Linked DNA regions of Drosophila melanogaster. The protein of the gene in region 4 interacts with the protein of the main gene of each other region in a pairwise test. Each region holds a gene or a part of one and is shown on either strand. Other genes may lie near its edges.

Region 1 (4,916 bases), on a different chromosome or scaffold from region 4:
TACCTTAATGAGTTTAGTTAACCCGAAAATTCTCAAGCTGAATGAATGAATTTAGTGGACTACCGGTTAGCTATTTCTTCTGACTAAAATAAGTTTAGAGTCAATCGCACATTCATTTTTAACATGTACTAAACGTATTATACCATCTCGTACAAAATTTAATTGGATTGTAATGCTTTTTTAACGCATTTAACCTTAACCAATATAACCAATAAAATGCAATGTACTTGAGACTGTTTAAGTCAGTTATAATCGGCTACTATCATTATGAAATTGTTTTTCTTAGTTATTCTGGGTAAGCTAAAGATTTTCTAAATATTTTGATCATTCTTATTGTTAATCAAACAGCCTGTATGCTAATCGGAATTGCATGGGGAGAAAACTGCAATAAGCCGTGCGGAAAATGCATCTTGCCCACCTGCAATTATGATGGCAAATGTTACTTTGAGGGAACTAGCGCTTGTGCTCTGGAAAATGAAAAGTGCCGACGAAAGAAGAATAATCTTGACCGTGAGCTTTATGTTTGAAATGTTTTTTACCCGATTTTAACTTCTTTTAAATGTATTTAGAATTCGTAAAAACCGTGTCTGGGTTCTGTGAGATGGGCGTTAAAATGTGTAAATAGCCAAATAAAATGTTTTCAATTGAATTATATAAATTAAATATATTTCTTTTAAGAAATAAATAGTTCAAAAATAGTTCAATTGCTGTTTGTCCACTATTTTGATGTTTATTTCATTTGGGAGTTTTAAAAAGGGTATATGATATGATTTTTAACCATAACTTAGTTTCGCCTTAATGAAATAATCTACTGCTAGTGCTACAAGTCCAATTGCTCCGTAGTTTGACCGATGAAAACCTCAAGAAGACAAATATGAGGAACATTTTACTTTGCCACTCAAGCCCCAGAAAAGCAAACCCAAACGAAACGAAACGAAGCGAACCAAACCGAGCCACCCAACTATGAAAAATTTAAACTTTGCATCCAAGCCATTTATTCATCCTGCTTGGCATCTGCCATCATATCTTAGCATGCGGTTCTGGCTTCGTCCGGAGTTCTCTGCCCCCATTTTGCATCTTAAAGCCTCCATCTTTATATCTTTAACCATCTCTATGCTCTTCGGTTCTTGGGCAGTTTGGGGTGCACCTTAAAAATTAATTGAAACATCACTACCGGCTAATATTGTAGATTAAAAACAGCAAAAGGAGCTGTGCTGGGTAAGAGGACCGAAATGGGCCGCACCTAGATGAGGCATATAAAACTTTTGGGGTTAACTGAGTGCTCTAAAAACGGTCAGAAACTTGCAAATTGCCAGTATGCTTGGCCATTTATCAGTCTTAGTTGTGGGTTAGTTGGAAAGAATGTTCCACAATAAATTCGAACAACAAATTTGGCTTCTTCTGGAGTTTATTAGCTGGCCGCCGGAATTTTGCGGTCAAAGGGCGACCTGAACTTGAATCTGGCCGGTCGGTCGCCCATCTCCCGCACCTCACCCCCACCATCCACCTATTGTACATCCATCTTCGTCTTTGCCCCCATCAAGTCACTGTCCAGTTTAGAATTTCTTTGAATACTCCGCCTGATGACAGAGCATTGCCAGATAGCATACTAATTCCGGCTCAGTCACTGCGCATGCCCAGATGCTCCGGTAATCGTGGGTCTTCGGGCTTTGGGGCTCTCGCACCAGCGGCATGGGTCGTGTCAACTGACTTCGGGGGCTTCGGTTTTTGGGTCTGTTGCGCCTAGGACAACAATTTCCGTGTTGCATGCCTCGCCTTCGGGTGATCTAAAAACGAAGCGAGTGTCGAGGTCGCCAACGTGCCATAAAATGCGCATAATGTGGCACGGATGTGCCAGTCCACGTTGGTAATTTGGCGCGTGAGCATCGCCGATTATCATTTTTGCCACAAGTGGCAGCCCGTATAGTGATGTTGCTGGTGCAACGGCAACATTTCGTACCTCTAGCCGGCTAGATAAAATCGCGAAATGGTGACCACAAATAGATAGGCTTTGATAGCCGCGAAGCATTAACCAGAGATCGTATCGGTCGAGGGAGATCCGGCAGTGCTTATGATACCAAAAGTAATCAAGCGGTGATTGCAAAGTGAAGTGATCAGTAATCAAAACTCAAGTGGCACGAAAGCAGAAAGAGCAAACGAAGGAGAGAAAAGTAGCCTAGGCACATGCAACAACTGGATACGGATACGCTTTTCAAGCCCTGAACAGCCGCCGACCTACGAACCCACCCACAAGTCAAGTACGTAACAGATTGATGAGCAAGTCGCCGTCGCTGTCTCAAAGAACCACCCACTCACTTGGCCCCCCCACATCATCATCCTCATCCACCTCCTCCTCCTCCAACTCCCAGCCACTCACTCGACCAGGCACTTGACTAAAAGTTCAATTTCCTGCAAGATGCTTTAATTGAAGCGCACAGTAAACAAGAAACAGAAGCGGAGAAACAGAAAACAGAGTGGGCAAGGGTCACTCGTCGCCTTGGGTGCCTTCGCTCTGGTCAGTCATTAGTCATTTGCTCATTTCCGCAAACGCAGCCCGGATGTGCAGCACTTGTCAGTCAATAAACAACCTCGACGGGGGGTGGATGATGGGTGGTGGACGGATGATGGGTGGCGATCCACCCACTCTCCCAATTAAATGTGGCAAACGTATCAGCGTCAATCACCGATTCTGATGGCCAGGCCAGTGCATCCTGCCGCTTCACTGGCGTTTCCACAGATCGGCTGAGGCATCGGGAAAATGTCTCGGGCTATTTACATTGCCGTCCAAGGGATTGGATGCAATTTCGATTGGTTCATGGATCAGGTTGGACTTGCTTAAGGTTTTAATTTAACAAGCAAATGTTGGGTACCATACACTTGCAATGATAGTTTGTTTTATTGAGAGCTATTGATAAACTAACAGCTGTTTGACAAACAACTAAAATAACAGCTGAGAGTTAGTCGAAATGTCTGTAGATTTGGCAAATAAAATATATAAACACATGTGTGGTTTTTAACAATTTTAGATCAATTTTAGTTTGGTTGCAAATTTGGTTCCCAAAAATTATCGCCATTTATATGTAGCAAACAATAGGAAACTACGTATATACAAATGAAATATAAATGTTCATACAAAGATTTTTTTCGAAGGAAGGATTAAAAGACAAAGTATAAGTGTTTTAAACTTTTCTCAACCACTACATTTTTTGGATCTGTGTCTTTGGTCTTTAAGATGATGGAAAGAAAAAGTGGAACGCGCAGAAAAATCTGGAGGTGTAGTGTTGCAGTGGCAGTGGCAGAGTGGGTGAGTGGGCGTCGGTGGGTGGCAGGGGGAGTGGCGACTGCATATGTGTCACACATTGAGTTTCTTGGACAACAATAACCAAGACGGACAGGAGCAGGGTGCATCGCAAAAACGGTGCATAGGTGCTAAAAAAAAAGAAACAACGAGGAGCAACAATGGAACGGAGGTGGGGAAATATGGGGAATGTTGGGGGGAGTACGCAAGCTAACCCAGTTTTTTTTCGACGCTGGTTCTTCACAGCTCAGTTTTGTTTTGGGCCTCCTCTTTTTTTTTATTTTGTCTACTGCTGCTTGGTACATTTCTTTTTATGGCTTTTACGAACTGGCCGCAAAACGACGACGACGAATAACCAACTTCACTGACAGCAGAAGAAACGAAAATATTTCGACCAAAAACTGCCAGACTTGTCCAAAGCCACCCACCACCCACCACCCACCAACCCATCCCACTGGATGAAACCTGTTTTGTAATTGTTGTGTTTTTATTCCGAGTATGCGTGTTGATGCGGATTTCTTTGGCTTTCCCAGCGCCTTCTGGGCTCTAGCTTCTTGCCTGGGCCATTGTCACGTAAATCTGTGACAGAAATTAGCCTCGTTGACAAAAATATGCCTGCTTACACATTATTTGTACAAACAAATAGACGGGCAACAGTTAATGGGCGTGGAGAGTGTCGTCCTCGTGGTGCCTCTGGGTTCCATGGGCACCGTTCCATGGGGTTCTTGGGTTCTTCTGACGGGGGTGTTGCAGATACATGGGTCTGGAGAAATTTGCATGGGAACTGCGCCAGTTGACGCTGTTATTTCTTGGCCTCTTTTGGGCGAATTCCTCAGCTAGTTTTGTGGCTGTCGTCCTGTCGGCTTTTCTTCTTCGCCTTGTTTTATTGATCTGTTTATGCTTTAGGACCTCTGGCCCTACACTTCCCCCCCATCACAGCAATCTCTGTCAAACCCTCATCATGGATAAACAAACAAAAAAAGTTTTATTTGTGGACTACTGAAAATGCAAAATAAAAAAAAAGAAAACAAAAAGCAAGGGATGCGGGGACCGCAAATGTGCTTTTTCGGGGCAAAGTTGTGCCTAGGCTAATGACCAGACAGGCGTGAAGGCAATCATAAACTGCGTACATTTCATCCTCCCACACTTCGCACTCGAAGTTAATTTTCCTTGACCAGAGTCTAGCCAGGTTGGAAAGTTTACTCTAGCTCTTAATCAACTCATTATAATGAACAGAGAAATAAAATATCCATAACATGCCGTCGATTAAATTATTTGGTTGCCTTACGGCACTTTTGCTGATTGACTTTATGGAGTTTTGGTCTGATTTTTTCCAATAAAATGTAATGAGATTAATAAATCAAATTGTTGCACATAAACGATTAATGCTATAAAAATGTATGCATGTATTTAATTATACCGCTTACTTTTAGAGTTAAGGGTATACAACATTCGTTGAAAAGTTTGTATCAGTTAGAAGGATGAGTTTTCGACCCTATATTTTTTGAACATTGATATTAAGAATGCAGATTCTAGAAACGGCGAGATTGTGCATCTTACCCACTCTAACGCTGAGTACAGGGTATCAGATAGCCGAGGAAATCGACTCTCTTTTTTT
Region 2 (4,629 bases), on a different chromosome or scaffold from region 4:
AATTAAAATGTTTGCCATTTTCTTTTATACATTTTTGGTTTGCCCCGCATCGAAATGCTATTTTTTTCCATTTAATTTCATTTAGACTGCTGACAGCAGGCGCAAATATTTGGCATTTACCCGTACCACTGCCTTATGTGTTTTTCGCCTGACGAGTTTTTGGCGAAAAGTGCCACATATCCAAGGACCAGGATCAGAGGCCATTTATCATCGCCACATGCGGCGGCATGACCTTTCCGACGACATGTGAGTTAATTAATCTAACTGGCCAGACGGCCAAGGTCGTGCATCGCAATTAAACATGGCAGCTGATGATGAAGGGAATTTACCTTCGCGACCAGACGCATAAATTTCAATTTGCACCTATGCATTTAAATTGATGGCGATGGAGGTCCTGCAGCAGGACCAGCATGCTGCATATGCGAAATGCGAATAGTTGTTCGCGCCGCGCTTCAATGCGCAATTAGCGGACCATGGCCCATAAATTATTTGACCCGCCGGCGGGGGAAAATGGGAAATGGAAAATGGCGGACGGAAATGAATGCCCAGCAGGGCGAATAAACAGATGAGCGTGCAAAATTCGCCCAGCAATCCGAATCCGCTTGGGCCTAAAGTATGCACTTCAGGTAGTTGGGACAAGGACCAGGCTCAAAATGCGTAAACGAGATAACAGGCCCACAGATATATTGTTATCCATCACGTGACTGCAGTTGGAATCACGTGCTCAGTCCATGTTCAATGCCGAACTTCCGTAAGCGGGCGCAATCAAATTAACCTTGGCTCACGCGGCGTATGCGCAATATTTCAGCCATTTAAGCCCAGTGCTGTGATAAATGCAGCTAAGTGGCTTTGTTTGCTCCCAATGCGAACAAATTCGATCGACGTACAGCGTCTCATGCATTTTAAATATTCCGCCAATGCAAATGCCAATAAATCTCGGCTTTTGTCTCGCCCTCAAAGGCAATGCACCTTTGTTGAAAACTTTTGCCCAGCTCTGGGATGCTTTAATTATGCAGCCAGCAGCAGTCTCATTATGCCGAAGTGACATTTTTCAGCTGGACGCCAGAGTTTTTCGCCGAAATTGCAAACTTTATTTTTATTGCATTTTTAAACTTTGCCCTTAAGCGCCTGAAAGTTCAGGCTAAAATATTTATATTTGCCATCACGCCCCGCAAATACACTGTGCTGTTTGTATTCGTTTTTATCTTCTTGTGGTCCCGGCTAAGTAGAACTATTTGCAGCTGCTCCAGTAAACTTTTCCCACCTTCCAGGTCATAGAATCCCGATCCCAGGCCAGAGTTCTTTTGTGCCAACTTTACTTTATCCGGCATAGGGTCTATGCTTCTGGCCCGGCACGCCCAGCGTGTCCTGGCTAACAGGAGCCTTAACAGAGCGCTCGCTCTCTCTCTCTCTCTCTCTCTTTGCCTCTCTTTGCGAGTGTCCTGCTCTCACGGCCAAAGCTCCGCGAAGGTTAGACTTTGCTGTGTGTTTGCAGGACCTGCTGACTTTGCGCCGTGTGTGTTTGCGCTGGCCGAGGCTGTCGGCAAACTCGACGAGTCCTGCCACGTTTAAATACAGCACGCACAGACGTCTGGCAATTTATTCCAAGTTCGGCCGGCTTTTGTTGCACTTGGCTGCTGTGAGTAGTCGGCTCGCGATCTCAGCCAGAATCGCGTATTGTAATTGTTGCCGGAAGATGTGAAGAATTCGGTTTTTAACTTAAAGTGCACGGTAATGAGAAACAAAATGTTGCTTCTAGAGTTCAGAGTATATAAACCAACTATCTTTTTGTCTAAAAGAGGCTTGTGGAAATTATGGAAAATAATTAGTTTAGCTTTCATGATAAAAAACAACAAGCAAGCACATGCAAACTATATTCTTTTAGACTTATAATTGCCTCTATAAATTTAAATGAAGTTTTACCAAACAAAAAAGTTGGCCAATTATATTCGTTTGAAAAACTCTAAACACGTTTCTGCATCGTCATATATGGAGCTTTACTATCAAATACAGGACACCAAAATTGAAATAGTGCAAATTACATTACTATATAAAATTAAAAAAATAATAATATTTTGTAGATATTTTTTTTAAGTCGTTGGTAAAAATGTACAGTATTTAAAGAGCCGATGGTGAAATTGTAATGCAATAACATTCCATGGTCTCCTTCTTTTTTTTTTGGTCTCTATAAACTTCGTTTTCTATGTGGCTTTAAGGTCAAGCAATTTCAGCAATTGCAAAACTTTTTTAAATCAAAGCCAAAACAAAGGCCAAACAACGATTTCGTTATAAATTTTCCGGTCGAAGCAAACAACGTACACGCGTATATGAAATAACAATAACACAAAGTCTGGCAGTTTTAGTATGCTTGGCTCAGCTTTGAAAGCATCCCCGAATGCCATACAGCATATTTCAATTATCGTCTAAATTTGTTTTGCTCGTCATAAATCTCTTTCTCTTTCGACCATGTTTTTCAACCAGTGCAGCAAGGAGTCCAGACAAGGCGAACAAACTCTCGAGACGAGGTAAATACATGACAGCAATGAATGCGGATGAGACAAAGCTGGCTGGAATGCCTCAAGGAGCTGAGGAGGAGCAGGAACCGGAGAGGGAGCAGAAGAAGGAGAGCGATGGAGCAGCAGCTGCAGCAGGAGTACAGTGTGATCCTGATAGCAGAATAGTGGCTCCGCCGCCCAGGCAGCGGACTCTGACAAGGACGGCCGAACTGGACGCGGACTGCGAGGACATCGAGTTAGATGCCGACGATGGTTTGGACGATGCGGCGGATAGCATCACCTTGGAGTTGGCCCTATCGCCGCACAGCAGCGCCACGCCCACGCCCTCGCCCACCACCGCCGACGAGGATTTCGCCCAGCTGGACAACAGCAAGCCCTTCAAGGTGGGTATTCCACTCGCTACTCGCACATCCTTCATGTCCTTTGTGGCATTTAGCCACGCTACCTGGCGCCCCGTCATCTGGGCCAGCATTTCGTTAAGTGATTACTGCGGTGCTATTGTTACGCTTGATGGGTATATAGTAAAAAAAAAATAGAAAAAATTAAACTGAAAATGGAGGAAAAAGTTTGACGGTCAGGACGAACAAAGTGAAGGGTTCCCCGACGGAACGGCCACTTCAAAGCCTTCGGCGTTGAGTGGCATCATCGACATTGGCACTGCTGCTGAAGTGTTGCTACCGGTGCTTTATTCGCCCTTTAAGCATTCGTCCAACTTTTCAATTCGCTGCAAGAGTTGGTGCGGGAAAAAATCCGGGAAAACAGAGCTGTTTCCTTTTGCCCTACCAGCAGCCCACTCCGCACTGCCTTCACCATGGCAAACTCCATTTGATTGTGAGGATTGCGTGGCCCTGCCCAATTTGGAGCACAGAAAGAAATGATTAGGGTCACAAATAGTCGCTGTCAATTCTGCAAAGTTTACGAAACAATTTACGCATCCGTTTACCTATTTACGAAACTTTTAACTCTAAAAACTGTGTGTGAAAGATACAACACATCGACACTTGCAAGAATAAAACGATTCTGTTTAGTATTGATATGATTTAACTTAATTGAACTTGAATGTCCTTATTTTGATGATCCTATATCCAATTACCCACTTATAGTAAGCCATGCTCAGTAAATCACTAACACTATCAATACAATATAGTATAGACCATATTTCACCCTCTACTCAGATTAGCTTCTTGCAAATTTTTTGCCTGTGTGGCTGGTCAACAATGAAAATTTAATTAAAATGTTCAAACTGTTCAGTTGCATAGGGTAGTGGGATCAGGATGCGGGCGCCCAATTGTCTCGTATATCATTGTGGGCCAGCCAGCTGGCCAATCATCCAGCCATTCCGCCAATCGCCTCCAGTGCCACGCCCACATCTAAGCCGCCTTGTGGCGTCTGTGTGGGCGGCGATAACTATAAGTAGGTGTCTTGGCCACGCCAGCTGAACACCCTAATCGATGTATTGTGTGTTAACGGCATCAGAGCGATGGCCATAACAATATAAACTGGCCAAAAGATCGGCGTCTACGAGATATCAAGTGGCTGTAAATTTGCCAGGCGAAAGCAATTAATTGACGGCTTGACGTGGCCGAAACGCGATGTCATTTGTCAGTGGCAACCGACCGGTGATGATGATGATGATGGGTGAGCGTGGGCCACGTGACGTATGCGTAATTCATGCGCATTCCAGCTAATTAATAAGCCTCCATCTTGTCTGCCATCTGACACGGGCATCTTCTTTATCGAGCTCTCGGGGAAATTGCCAAGGTTCTGATTAAAAACACTGGATGATATAATCCTGGAGATATAATCCCTTTGACTAATTCCAGAAACAACTAAATGAGAGTGAAAATTAAGGAAAGGGTTGGTAGTCAGAGGCCAACACATGAATGCGTGAGGTAGGGTTAATAATATCCTGTGTTCACGTATTGGCCCTTAGGTTCTTCTCGGTATGAAAATAATTTGCATCTCTTCTACTTAATATCAGATAGTTCAATTAATTCGATGGTTACCATGACTGATTTGCAGTTTGGTTTACTCACAAGGTTAAATTGGTTTAGATCTACCGCTGAACTGAAAACTCATAGCAGTGCTGCCACACAGAAAGACATTTTTGACT
Region 3 (7,891 bases), 2.9 Mb from region 4:
GTAAGTTGTCAAGTAAAGCTAATCAATGCACATCGTGTTTAACAAATTGAACGATTACATTGCAGAAATTCAAAATACGCATTGAGGATCCACCGCGACGCAAGGATATGGTCTTTATCGGCGGAGCTGTTCTGGCGGAGGTGACAAAGGATCGCGACGGCTTCTGGATGTCCAAGCAGGAGTATCAGGAACAGGGTCTCAAAGTATTGCAAAAGCTGCAAAAGATCAGTCACTAGAGGCGGATGGATGCGAAATCAGTGTGTGTGTGTGTGCGGACCGCAAGAAATAGGATAAAAAAGTGATAGATTTCTTTTCTCTATTTTCTATAGGTTTAAACCTTTCAGATTTACGTGATATATCCGTCTATATATGTTTTTTTTTTTGTGTGTGCCTGTGCGAGTGGGCGTGTCTGTTGAGCAGGATTGGTCCACTTGCCCTTAGATTATCTATAATCGCAGACATGTCGTCACTGGTCGTTATCCCCGTACAATATAATGTAATATTTCTTTGAGCGCGAAAACTTTAATTCGATAGTCGCCTAAATTGTGTAACCCTGCATTAGTGTGTTTAATTGTTTATAATTACGTCTAAAATTCAAACCCAAAAGCCCTTTTCTTTAATGAATACGCATATATAACTATATATATATACATATATAAATTCAAAGCACCTCGAGTGCGGCGATATTTTTGTAAACGCAAAATGTTTCATTTCCAGCGAGTATTTCACATTAAGTATTAACTAGGCCAAGTCTGCTAGTAGCAGCTACTAAAATCGTGTGTGTGTTAAGACAGAGACAGAGACAGAGGAAATATAACGAGGAAGTTGCATAGCACAGAAGGAGAAAGCGCGAGTTCGGTCGTTAACTAAATACACTGATTGATTCGATCCCGTCTCGCCTCCCGACACTCGACCTTAAAGTAAGCATTTCTGGATTGTCTCCAACTAGATAAAGATGAAGTTACCTACCCATAAAGATACAGATAATCGAAGTCACAAGATTACGCATTTACGTTGCCCCATAATCGAAAGTACCATCAGTCGAAGTGTTAAATTTGATTTAATTTCCTTACCTGCCTTTTCTAGTTAGTTGCAATTTGATGATTGTTGGGGTCGCAACTATCGGCATATGATGAATAGTATATACATATACATATGTGTGATCCATATACATATATCCGTATATGTAAAATGAATGTGGAATGCCAATTATGTAAGTGAATGCAATAAACGTAATTATGTATGATGTGTACTGTATACTGTAGTCTAAAACTAAATCGCATACGACTTTTTTATGGTTTTTTTTTTGCCAAATTAAAAACAAAACAAAAATGACAACAAGAGAGCATGCTATAGTCGAATTCCCCGACTATCAGATACCCGAAAAGAGTTGTTTGGCAAATGGATAGAAATTTAAGAGACTAATAAAAATATGAAAAAATTCAAAACTTTTTTTTAAAAGTGAGGGCATGCCCGTTTTGGGCGGTTTGTGGGCGCGGCAACATGGGTCAACAAACAGTTCTTGAGATCTCGACTTTCATGCGGACGGACACGTCCAGATTGACTCGGCTATTGGTCCTGATCAAGAATATATATACTTTTATATGGTCGGAAACGCTATTGATCGTGATCAAGAATATATATACTTTTATGTGGTCGGAAACGCTTCCTTCTACTTGTTACATATATATGTAATTACCAACGAATCTCGTATACCCTTCTGGTCTATAGTAAGTGTTTTGTATTCTTGTTTCTTTCAAATAAATTTTTAAATTACTTTTGCCTGCATAATAAAATTTCAGTTGGCAACAATGGCCTTAGCGAATGCACCTTCCACATTTAGCAAATACGCCTAGCCTTACAGTTTAGCGAGTATATGAACCTCGTGTAGACAGCGTTGCCCCTTTCGATTAACATCGATTTACAGTAATCGGGTTCAGCTGTTGTTCGTTGCAACTTTCAAGCTAAATTAAAATAAATCGAAACCGGCAAAAAAAAGGAAATCGACTTGACATAGCATTGCCATGAATTAAGTGCTGCAAAATGGATATAATATTTTCTCAGGATGTGCACGATGAACAAAAGTTTCTGGATTGTGCGAGGAAACTAGAGTACGACGAGTTTTCGGCGGTAAGGACTTGCTTTGTACATAAATCCTTATGCACACGTTTTCATTGCTTAAATCTTGGTTTTATAGAAAATGTTTGTATTCTGCAATAAGCACAGCGCTTTGGATGTGTTTGAGCTAATGGGCGATGACCGGTTGTCGCAGTTACTCTACGGATGGGAGGTGTGCCACCTGCCTACCAGGGATTCCGAGTCGCTAAAGGACCCAGCGCTGCGTCACATGGTCAGGGTTTTGGTCTACCACTCGCTGCTGATGTGGTTTAGCCAAGAGTGGAAGACCTGCTCCGAAGGCCTCAAGCAGCTTTTGCTCTACACCCTCACCAAAGCAATGCCGGCATTCCATCAGATTGGTGAACTGGCCAATATCAACTGGTCGTACGTTCTGCAGTTCCAGACGAAGCCCTGGAGCCTGCCCTACCTGCATCAGCTATTTCTTAACCTGGAGCTGAATAAACAACACGGCATCGAACACAAAGTTCAAGCGGCATCAGGAGAAGGTAAGCCATTACTAATTTTCGTCAAGGATTCATCTAATCATTGCCTTATTTCTTAGATGTTGCTTTCCTCATGCAGGAAGGGGTATCTCTGGCCCTGCTGCGACTAATCCAGCTCTTTAACGCCGGCAACTTTGAGGCTGTAAAACAGCTGGCGCTTCGGATGCTAGCTGCTTGGCTGAAAATCCACGAAAATGCACCATTTGTGTCCTTTAAAGGGGATGAAAACACAATTACACTAATCGGTCATGTATGCCTCTTGGCCGCTTTTGTTAGGGATGATAATCAAGGCTTTGTGATTGATAATTTGGTAAGGAAAACATTCATCATGTAACTAACATAACAAAACTAAATGTCGTCATAAAACCACCTCGTAGATGTACAACATAGGGTTCTATGTCCAGATCATGGAGGAATTTTCGAGCTCACATGATATTAACTTTACGCCAGCTCGGCTTATTGCCCGCGTTTGCGTCCGTCTTCGACTCGGAAAGAATGCGTTTTTTGAGAAAATTGCATTTAGGAAATTCAATCTATGTATGGTCACTTCATTTGCCGTCATACTAGATGCCTACTCCAGCTATGTGCTGGGAAATTTATTGATGGATCTTCAGTCGCTTAACGAGCACGATTTCCTGGAGCACCTGCCACAGTTCAAAAAGCTAATGGATCGCTATGTAGAGGAGCGCGAGAGCAGCGAGCGCTTTCTTCTAAACGAGCTCAAGAAGATGGAACAACAGCGAAACAGCTGCATTGAACCGCATCTAGTAAACCTAATTCTCAACTACAAGCAGCAGATATGCAAGGGAAATCGAGCCAGCAACATAAGCAACTACAAGAACAGTGATGACGACGAAAAGATTCAGCCTGAGGTGGGCGAAGAACAAGATAGACAAGTAGATCCGGTTTTTCAAAATGTACCAAACAATGAGGAAGTTTTGAGCTTTGTGTACAAATTGCTGGCAGAGCGGGTAAGTGATGAGAACTAACAAAAGCGAAAACTTTACTAAGCACCGCGCTTTTTTAATTTAGAATTTTTCAGGCTGGAGATTTGCTAAGATTGCTCTGCTGCTGAAAATTATTGGGCAACAAATAAATGCATTAGAAATGTGGAGATATCATCCCGGGTTAACCGTTGATTTTATGCTCGATTTGGAGCAAAAGATGTCTGCAAACTATGCTGACCTAGCCAAATTGTTCTCTGACCATGGATTTATGGAGGCAGAATTCTGGCTGACTGCTTTCTACCTCCACCCCACATCATCAAATTATAACGAAGTAAAGCGCTGTTCGTGGATCATGAAAAATCGACAGGAGGAGGGCGGGCTCCCTGCTCCAGCGATTGGCAACGTCAAGTACGAACTGCTGAGCTCCACCATCGATGTGCACCAGATTATGACCATAACAAACCATGAAGATCCAGTGTCCGACTACGATCCAATAAACGAGTCGCTGAAGGCGTTGCGTCTACCCAGCAACATGACCAAGGATCTTCTGACCGTGGTCTTCCAACCGCGACATAAACAATACTCATGGGCTCTCGATTGGCAAACGCTAGACGAGCGTTGCAGTGCCCTACTCAAAAGCCAGGACCTGAAGAGAAAATTTGTGTCTCTTAACATGGCCGAATCATGCGACGACTTGAAGTATCTCCAGATCGACTATGCCAAGTACAGGGATCGACCACAGTTGGACTATGGCACCATAGAAGAGGGCTACGAAAATGAGACTAATCTCTCGAATGCAGCTGGAAAGGCTGAATCAACACCAGCAGTGCATGATAAAGCAGAGAAAGCCAAGGAGCTGAAAATGCGGCGACACGCAAAACGCAAATGTTGGTATGAAGGTTAGCAACGAAATCTTTTTTCTTTGAGCAACTTTCATATAAGATTAGATTCAGTCAAACTAATGAATTGAATTTTAAATCCCACAGTTTCGGAAGACGAGGAAGAGGCTGCCTCAAGTGATTCGGAGCCCAGCTACACAGGAAATGGCCGCCGAACACAGATTAGAGCCGCAGCCATTGCATCCAAAGCTAATGGTCGCCGGACTGGGATTAGAGCCGCAGCCATTGCAGCCAATATCAAATTGTCTGAAATGTCCTTTCCAGAGACATCGAATAGGCGCTTTTCTACACAGCCCGTCGTCAAGGAACAGCCAAAAATCGCCGTCCAGCCTAAAAAACAAAAAACAGTATTGTTTTCGAAAGAAGAGGATGAGGTTTCCTCAAGTGATTCGGAGCCCTGTTACACAGGAAATGGCCGCCGGACTCAGATGAGAGCCGCAGCCATTGCAGCCAAGGCCAAATTGTCTGAAATCTCCTCTCCAGAGACATCGAATAAGCACTTTTCTACACGGTCCATCGTCAACGAGCAGCCAAGAATCGCAGTCCAGTCTCGAAAACAAAAAGCAGTAATGTTTTCGAAAGACGGGGATGAGACTTCCTCAAGCGATTCGGAGCACTGCTACACCAGAAATGGCCACCTGAATCGGATTAGAGCCGCAGCCATTGCAGCCAAAGCCAATTTGCCTGAATTGGATCGAAAAGTGAGCGGTGGGCGACGATCGATCTTTCCAGAGGCATCGGGTAATCACTTTGTTACACAGCCCGTCGTCGCGGAGCAGCCAAAAATCGCAGTTCAGCCGCAAAATCAACAAAAGCGTACAATTGCCGAGCTGATGAAGTCACGACCCATGTTTACCAACGAAACGAAAGGATTTAAGCCGATCGCCGACATATGGAGTTTCAGCAAGGAAGAGCTAGAGAATGTGGTTAGCGGGCCCAACGACATGATAGAGTGCAGCTCGATTATAGCCAAAATGAAGTTATTGAAGGACCTCAAAATGGCGAAATCTGCAAAAGCAGCCGGACAGCCATGTTCACAGCTCGTTCGCACAGGATCAGAAACTGAAAGCGTGAATTCCGAAACTTCCACGATGGCTACACACGAATTTAACGAGAAGGGGACCACTGTAGGTTCCCCCGGTGAAGGTAAAGAGCAAAAAACACCTTCGCCGACCGCAAACTCCGAATTAAGCACTGAAACAGAAGTGTTGAAGCCCACCGATGAGACTGAAGCGCATATGATCCATGACGCCCTAAAAACTACAAACGTGCCACAGAAGACTCTGGACTTACAGTTCTTGTCCAAGAAGCACATAAGAACTGGATAACAGACCCAGGAGTCCCCAGGAGATGTCATAGAAACTAGTGATCTCAAACAGGTCCCCCTAAATAGCCTGTTCAAAGTAGAGGGACTGGATGCAAGACAGGCGACAGGAAAGCCAAAAAAAAAGGAACAAACGGAACAGGATCTGCCAAATACTAGAAAACACAAAGATAAGCTTCACATGCAACGCCATTTTTTTTTTTTTTGTTATTTCTTTACTTACATATATACCATAACTACGTAACAATTTATTATACAGCCTCGATGTTAGTAGAGATGTGAAACCGGATAAGGTACTGCCGCAAAGCATTGCTTCGCATTAGGGGCACCAAAGATTTGGAACCTCACGATCTTGGTGCTTTCCGGAAAAGCAAACTGTAGAGCCATGTGAGACTCCGGACATGAACCCGAACTTTCTGGATCTCGATGTCGATTCGAGGACAAGCACCCGATTGCTGAAGTAGCTACCTACGGCGTGCAGCAAGTAACCTGCTACCTAAAAACCAAGTGACCGTGGAGATCGCGTCCAGCGTCGACAATTCTTTCCGGAATCCGTACTGGTTTGTAGAAAGTCCCCATGCAGCCGATATTGCTGTGTTGAGCCTCGCCGCGATCACCTTCTCGAAGGCAGATGGGTCTTTACGAGAAGGGTTCGGCAGGGTGCTTGCCTTGGTTGCCTTCTATGGGATCCGATCGGGTCCTGATTTCTTTCTGGTTTTGAGGCTTCTCGCAGCCGCCAGAATCTTGGGCTACGTGACCGGCCGCAAGTGGTCAGCTTGACACGTCTCCGCTTATCTGCCAAGTGGTAATGGTCTCCTCCAACTTCGCTGCCATTTTATCCGCTGCTGCGTTCGCCCAGTCTGCCTCGTCGATTGTCAGCTAGTGAAGAGAGCCGTCTAACTCCTTCAGTCTCATGGTGTCCTGTCGGTAGGCCGTATGAGGCTGCTTCCTGGCTGTCGAGTGCTCTTGTGCCGATTTCGACCTGGATCTCAACCTCTGATCACCTCTACCTTCCCGCATATGGCTGCTATGCTTGTTCGGTCTAAAACCCACTTGTTACTGGCCTTAGCCTTGTACGGCTCGCAGAGGAGAGCCACCTCTGTCTTTAGATCGCGATCGGTCTAGGTAAGCCACCCAGCATCCAAAGATTCAAATTATGTTTATGGCGAGCACCTCGACATCCGGAGGGGCATTGTTTGCTACCTTTATGCTTCGTGCTCTTCTTGCCTTCAACTTGCCCCCTTATCCATGCAGTTCCGTGTTAGAAGCAGAAACTTTCTTGATCATTAAAAGGACCATAAACACAACAAACATATTAAAAGAGTTTAAAAAGCCCAACGCAAAGTATCGAAGTGCAATTAAAGAAGCTATCCAAAAATGAAAACTGTGATATCCTAAATTCTCCAACATTCCTCTAGATTATAAAGTTAGCTTAGTCTTTCCTAAATTAAAGTCACAAAAACTGCTACAAGACTACAACTTGACTAACAAGAAGATTGCTCTCTCTCCAAAGGGCCACCTCTCTATAATATCATTGAACTTTTCCCGAGCCTTTGACAAAATAGGTATCCGCTTCCTTATACACCAATTAGGTCTCCTTAATTAACCTTTCCTCACCCTTTTGAACAATATAAATCAATGTTGCACTTTCTCAGGTGCGGCTAACTTTCAATAGACAAGTGCAAATAAATACAAATGCAAACCAAGACAAGAGAGAGTGCTTTAGTCGAGTTCCCGACTATCAGATACCTGTTACTCAGCTAGTGGAAATGCGAAAAAGAAATTTCATCATTTTTCTGTGATATGAATAGATTTTAGGTAATTGGGTAATATTAATAGGTGAGTTTTTTCAAAAGTGTGGCCGCTTCAGTTTTGGGCGTTAAAGTGTGTCGTATCAAATCGTTAAAAAATTTACAAGACTAATAAAAATATACAAAAATAACAAAGCATTTTTCAAAACTGTGGCCGTGACAGATGTGGGCGTGGCAACATGGGTCTGGAAGATGCATGCTTAATCTTCAACATTCTTGCTTTTATAGCTCCCAAGATCGAGACGTTCATGCGGCCAGATTGATTCGGCTATTGATCCTGATCAAGAAT
Region 4 (5,524 bases):
TCCGAGGCTCTAGCATCGCCAAAGAAGTCGGAGTCCACAGAGGAAGCACAGGAAAACGAGGTAGGGAAGGCCCAATAAGTCCAGAAAAAATTAACTAAATATTGTTTTTATCAAAAACGAAGGCACCAACTTCAACTTCAACTTCGCGTAAATCCAAAAAGGAACAGAAATCCGAGGAAGAGCCAACTCAAGTCGATTCAAAGGAAGCGAAGCAATCCAAAGAGTTGGTCAAAACGAAGAGACAACCGAAAGCCCAAAAGAAGCAGGCAAAGGCATCCGAATCCCAAGAAGAAGTTGCCGAAGATAAGCCCCCTAGCAGCCAGAAACGGAAGCGGACCACCAGATCCTCCACAGACGAGGCTACTGCCGGTGCCAAGCGGAGGAGGTAGTTGTGCCCAAAACAAAGCGTTCAGCAATAGAGCCCTATGATCGATGATTGGCAAATCCTCTCGAGGAACCGATCGTTGAGAACCCCTTTGCCTTTGTTGATCGCTCAATTTTGGATCAAAAACTACATACATGAAAAATACTCGAGCATTGTTATTACAAAATATATTAAAACATCTTAGAAACCTATTTCCATTTTTGTTTTTTTTTTTCATTCTCTTGTGGTTCATTTTTGTCTGATTTTTTGCCTCTCATTCGTTAAAATTTTGTGGACTTTGATTTTTCTTCCAAAATGTACATGTTTTCCTTTTTTGATCTTATTTCAATTTTGTCCCTTCTTAGTTAGTTAAAATTTGTTTTCGTTTTTAGCTCAGCTTAATAATTATGATCCTAGAGAAAAAATTTTGGTTTTACGAAATTGTTTTTACTTTTAGCTTCTTCTAATGCTAGAGATACCCTACCACTTGCCTAAATAGATTACAATCTGAATTGTCTCTTTTTTAACTAAAATTTTGGTTAAATAAAAAAAATTGAATATAATATGTGGGGAGGGGTGGGGAGCTAGGTGAAATAGTATTAAGAACATGCAGCAACAGAAACCGAGAGATTGCGATTAGGTGGAGAGCCAGTCCAAAAGGTGGACTTGCCTTAAGTAGAGTCGCAAATACAATGCATGCAAGTATGTATATATATATATATGTATATAATGTCTGTACACCCATATATATAATGTACAATATAATGCAATGGTCTGGCGAACTGCTCTAAGCAAAACTTCGGAAACCAGATGTGAAATATAGTCGTGTATTGCAAAACTATACATAGTTCAAATTGTGCTGTTTCACTTATGGCATAGATGATGCCCGAAAATAATTGATTACGAATTGCCTAACGATGACGAAAAAGGTTCTTTTTAAATTCATTGTCTAACTTATACAACGTTAATAATTGATGGCCTAAAGGGTTTCCTACATTACAAAATTGCTCGAAGAATATTTGCTACATCCATAAGTTTCCGCTCAAGTTATCCTATAGTAGAAGTTCACCAGTCCATTGCTAGTTTAAAAAACAACAATCAATTGGCTATGGGAACGTAAAGTTAAGAGAGGCGAAACATTGGAATTGTATTGGCTACGGCCTGGTGCGCGGTTCTGATCGTTATCCTGATTCTAATCCTGTTTCTGTCCCTGGTCCACAATGTATTTGTTTCCTTTCTTTCATTTCTTGCTTGGCTTTTATCCTTTTGTCGGAGGGGGGCAACAAACAGTGATCAACTAAGGCTTAAAAACTATATTTAAATTATGTGCGAAAAAGTAGGTCGATTCAATAGGCGAGAAAACATTGCGAAAAACAAGGCTTTGATTGATTACACGTCCAGTTAGTTGCTGATAGAGCGGTTACAGATACTTCCGATAGTTGCGCAGATGGGCGTTCGCGTCCTCGACCACGCCCACCGCAGCAGCGGCACTCTCGAAGGATGGTGGCTCGATGACCATGCCGGGACTTGTCGGATCGCAAGACGCTCCAACGGCGCTATTTGGCCCCTTGGCTCGTCGCCTGCCACGTGTTCCCGCTCCCCGCGATCTGCGGCTGTTGGCCGAAGCTCCCGATGCTCCTCCTCCGCCGCCGGATCCCGAAACTCCCGCTAAGCCTGCTCCCAGGCTGCCGCTTAGGATGCCTCCGCTGGAGATTGGTCCTCCATTGCTGCCTGGCACACTCTCGCCAGATTCAATGGCCTCCAGCGATGCGTCCAGCGCCGCATCCGTCGTTGTGATACGCGACCTGGCCGCTGCACTGCGTCTCCGCGAGCTGGAGCTACCGCCGGAATTGCCGCCACCGCCGGCGCCTCCTCCACCACCACCGCCGCCGGAATCTCCACCTCGCTTGCCTGGTCGCCGCTTGCGCCTTTTTTTGTTACCATAGCGCGGATCATAATCGTACTCATCATCCGCCGGCGATTTGGGCTCCTCCAGCGAGTCCACATCGTTCATATCCATGTCATCGTAGAACCACTCCTTGGGCAAAAGCTCCTCTTTGACGGCCTGCTGCTGGTGCTGGTGCTGCTGATGTTGTTGCTGTTGACTGTCCTTGCTGTCGGATGTATCACCGCCGGCGGCACCCAGCGAGCTGGACTCCTCCAGGCTGAAGGCTCCATTAAAATCGTGGGCAGTGTCACTGTGCAGGGAACCAAGTACGGCCGGCGCGGCTCCGCCGCCCGTAAGCATATTGAGCGTTAGGGAGGAGCTGCTGGCCAGGCTATTGCTGCCGGGCATGGAGCCCACACCGCTGGTCAGGCTGCTCAGTCCCAGATTGACGCCGCTGGCCACCAGAGCTTCGTGCTCCTTGCGTAGCGCCTGGAAGGGACGCTCGGGAAAGCGGCTGTATAAGTGGAAAGTTCGTTATTAGCAGGGATAAATATGGAGCTCACCCAACGAAAAATGTAGGATTTGATGAGATTGAATGGCATATACACAGATGATATTCTTCTAACCTAACTCGTTTTAAATAAGATTACCATAGGTAACAGACTCCTAGATTTCCAAGCTCTAATTTGCTTCGCCAGAGTTATACCTAACTTTTCCTTGTGCATGTGCCAGTCACTCAAATCCCGCACCGATTGGTTACGATTCCTCACCTGTACATCTTGCTCAAGTACTGACGACGGCTCTTCCGCCAGCGGGCCGCCGGATACGTGTAGATCTGGCCCTGCCGGAAGCCGGGCATCCGCTGTCGCTTGTCCAGGAAGAGCTGCGAGTGGTTCTGGGCGACGCCTGTCTGCGGATCGAGGAAGGGCAGCCGGTGGCGCCGTTCGCTGCACAGGCGCGTGTTGAAGTTGGCACTGTACTCGATCGTCTCCCGGTAGCTGACATCCTTCAGGAAGCTCTCGATCTTGGCCAGATTCGGCATAGAGACGATCTGGATGTTAACGGCGGAGGACATGGCTGTTCCTGGTCCTAATCCCACTGTTGGCTAACCTCAGAGTCCGGCTGTGCCGCTAATCCATCCCAGAGTCTTGGCAATTTCCGCTCCGCTCCGCCCCGTTTCTTATCGCAATTTTTTTCCAGTGTGTTGTGTTCCGTTTCTTATCGCTTTTCGCTGCCTGTTTTTTTTATTCTTCTTCGTCTTCCACCTCTCCTCTCGACCGACACATACACGCACGCACACACACACACACGCAAAGCTCTCTATCGATGTGACCCCGCGCCAGGGGGCGTGGGCGGCAGTGGGCGTGGCGAGGGCGATACGTTTAGATCGCGATCTGCGGCCGGATTTTCCAATTGTTTAATTGATCAGAAATATTAACGTCGTTTTCACTGCTCTGCTGAATGCCAGTGTTACCAGATGGCGACATGATTTTCCCCCCAAATGTTCTCGACCGACCGGTATTTTTGTCCTAAAAAATCCACTCTTTCGCTTTAATTTTAGCGATCAGTTTTCTTACCAATTTAAGGGCCTGTATAGGTCTGTTAGTTAATTTATGCATTGCAGTGCATAGCTATGTAATGGTATTTTCTAGTTTTAATTACAAGCCTATGTTACAGGGTTTTTGGTTAGTTTTCAAACATCGATAAGTTGTAAGCCAATCGATTGCCGGGCCCACGGTCATACAATAGAGATGGGCAACTGGCGATAATGCCTACCTACCTGTTACGCCAATTTCAAAATAGTAGTTTGTTATCTGGATCGGCACAGGCGACAAAAAAAACTAATATGTTTATATATACGTTATATATGGCTTTGGAAATAAATTACACAATCATATTGGTCAATCATTGTTTCAGCGCACGATGAGGAACTAAAATCTTCAAATTTAAAAGTACAAATTAAGATAAGTCATAGACTGCACAAATAAATAATTAGCAATTAATAAAATAGCTAAAAGAATATTGCACAGGGCAGCAGAGTGTTAACGATTTTCTTATCGATTCTCCTGTCAGCTGGCAACGCCAAAACAAAACAAAAACAAAATTAAAAGAGAAATCAAAACAAGGCAACCCGGTCATTGAAATTTCAGAAAATACTGCTTTGTTTGCGTTAACGGGAATGCTTTTTGCCCCGTAGATATGTATATATCACATAGAGGCACGGCTCACAGAGAACACCCACCAATCCAAACCATTTACATTTACCACTTAGATTAGCTGGTCTCGCAAACAACGGATAAGACTGTATATCAGCTGTACGTACGTACGGCTATTTGGTGATAAAACCGGCGCTATAGTTCCACTGCCACAAAGTAACAAAGAGAAGACTGAGCCGAACAACCTGCCATTTTGATACCGACGCCCCACCGAGATTAAAGCCCACTTTTCCGGATCCCATTCGCAGTTGTCCCACAACCTCAAGGCACTACAAATCGCAACAATAGCCAAATAAGTATAGGATTCCGACGATGTGCGTGATATTCTTTTGTGCGGACTCGAATCCGCAACCGGGTGGCTACAAGCTCATCCTGGCCTCCAATCGGGACGAGTTCTTTGCCCGCGCCACCCTATCGGCAGCCAAGTGGGCGAATGCCGATCATGTTTACGGAGGTAAGTGGTGGGGCTTATGCCCTTGAATGCCTATGCTTAGATGGAGTATAATCCTTGAGAGCTTGTATTCATCAAGATGTTACCTATAGTTTAGTCACTAAGATGATTTGATAGCAGTTTGTTAGAATGAACACCTCTCACAAGATCTGTTTCCCAGCAACCTAATTGGATTTCAAGCCATCTTACCCATGAGTGCGGGATCAACTTGAGTAAATATTTATGTATTCCCCCATTTCAGGGATCGATCTGGAGCCGGGACGCGAGGGCGGCACCTGGCTGGCGATCGGCCACTCCGCTGGCTTCTTTAAGGTGGGCGCCCTGCTCAATCTGACCGGCGAGCCCAAGCCACGCGATGCAGTTGGTAAACCCATTTGAGCTACTTACTAATCCAAATTGACGCGCACACACACGCACACACACTCATCCATACACCTAACACTTGGCCCGAACTAAAACTTTCACAACCGCGACCAAAGAAAAAGCAAAGCAAAAACAAACTTTCTTCGTTTCTGTTTTCTGTTTGAAGCGCACAAAAACATTTTGCAACCGCATAATCACAACAGCAACAGCACCGGCATTAACCTTTGCCCCAAGACCACCAC

What was found.
Region 1: the proteins of tth (region 4) and CG4168 interact in a two-hybrid assay, tested with the Drosophila melanogaster proteins (one large-scale study listed by BioGRID).
Region 2: the proteins of tth (region 4) and Drep3 interact in a two-hybrid assay, tested with the Drosophila melanogaster proteins (one large-scale study listed by BioGRID).
Region 3: the proteins of tth (region 4) and CG9902 interact in a two-hybrid assay, tested with the Drosophila melanogaster proteins (one large-scale study listed by BioGRID).

The regions. Positions count from the first base shown.
Region 1 is NT_033779.5:15,197,416-15,202,331, reverse strand, and holds the start of CG4168 (uncharacterized protein), read left to right. Parts: upstream 1-1,872; 5' UTR 1,873-2,258; intron 2,259-4,916. Other genes in the region: Sfp35C (seminal fluid protein 35C), read left to right, coding at 268-295, 349-510, 570-625.
Region 2 is NT_033778.4:12,053,488-12,058,116, forward strand, and holds the start of Drep3 (DNA fragmentation factor-related protein 3), read left to right. Parts: upstream 1-1,601; 5' UTR 1,602-1,731; intron 1,732-2,481; exon of another isoform or gene 2,482-2,486; 5' UTR 2,487-2,533; coding exon 2,534-2,899; exon of another isoform or gene 2,900-3,060; intron 3,061-4,629.
Region 3 is NC_004354.4:16,541,587-16,549,477, reverse strand, and holds CG9902 (uncharacterized protein), read left to right. Parts: upstream 1-1,957; 5' UTR 1,958-2,043; coding exon 2,044-2,130; intron 2,131-2,197; coding exon 2,198-2,624; intron 2,625-2,680; coding exon 2,681-2,931; intron 2,932-2,998; coding exon 2,999-3,592; intron 3,593-3,653; coding exon 3,654-4,467; intron 4,468-4,554; coding exon 4,555-5,795; 3' UTR 5,796-7,354; downstream 7,355-7,891. Other genes in the region: Arp2 (Actin-related protein 2), read left to right, coding at 66-236.
Region 4 is NC_004354.4:13,612,654-13,618,177, forward strand, and holds tth (toothrin), read right to left. Parts: upstream 3,934-5,524; 5' UTR 3,328-3,933; coding exon 3,023-3,327; intron 2,767-3,022; coding exon 1,785-2,766; 3' UTR 540-1,784; downstream 1-539. Other genes in the region: Tango2 (transport and golgi organization 2), read left to right, coding at 4,781-4,922, 5,161-5,283, 5,449-5,524.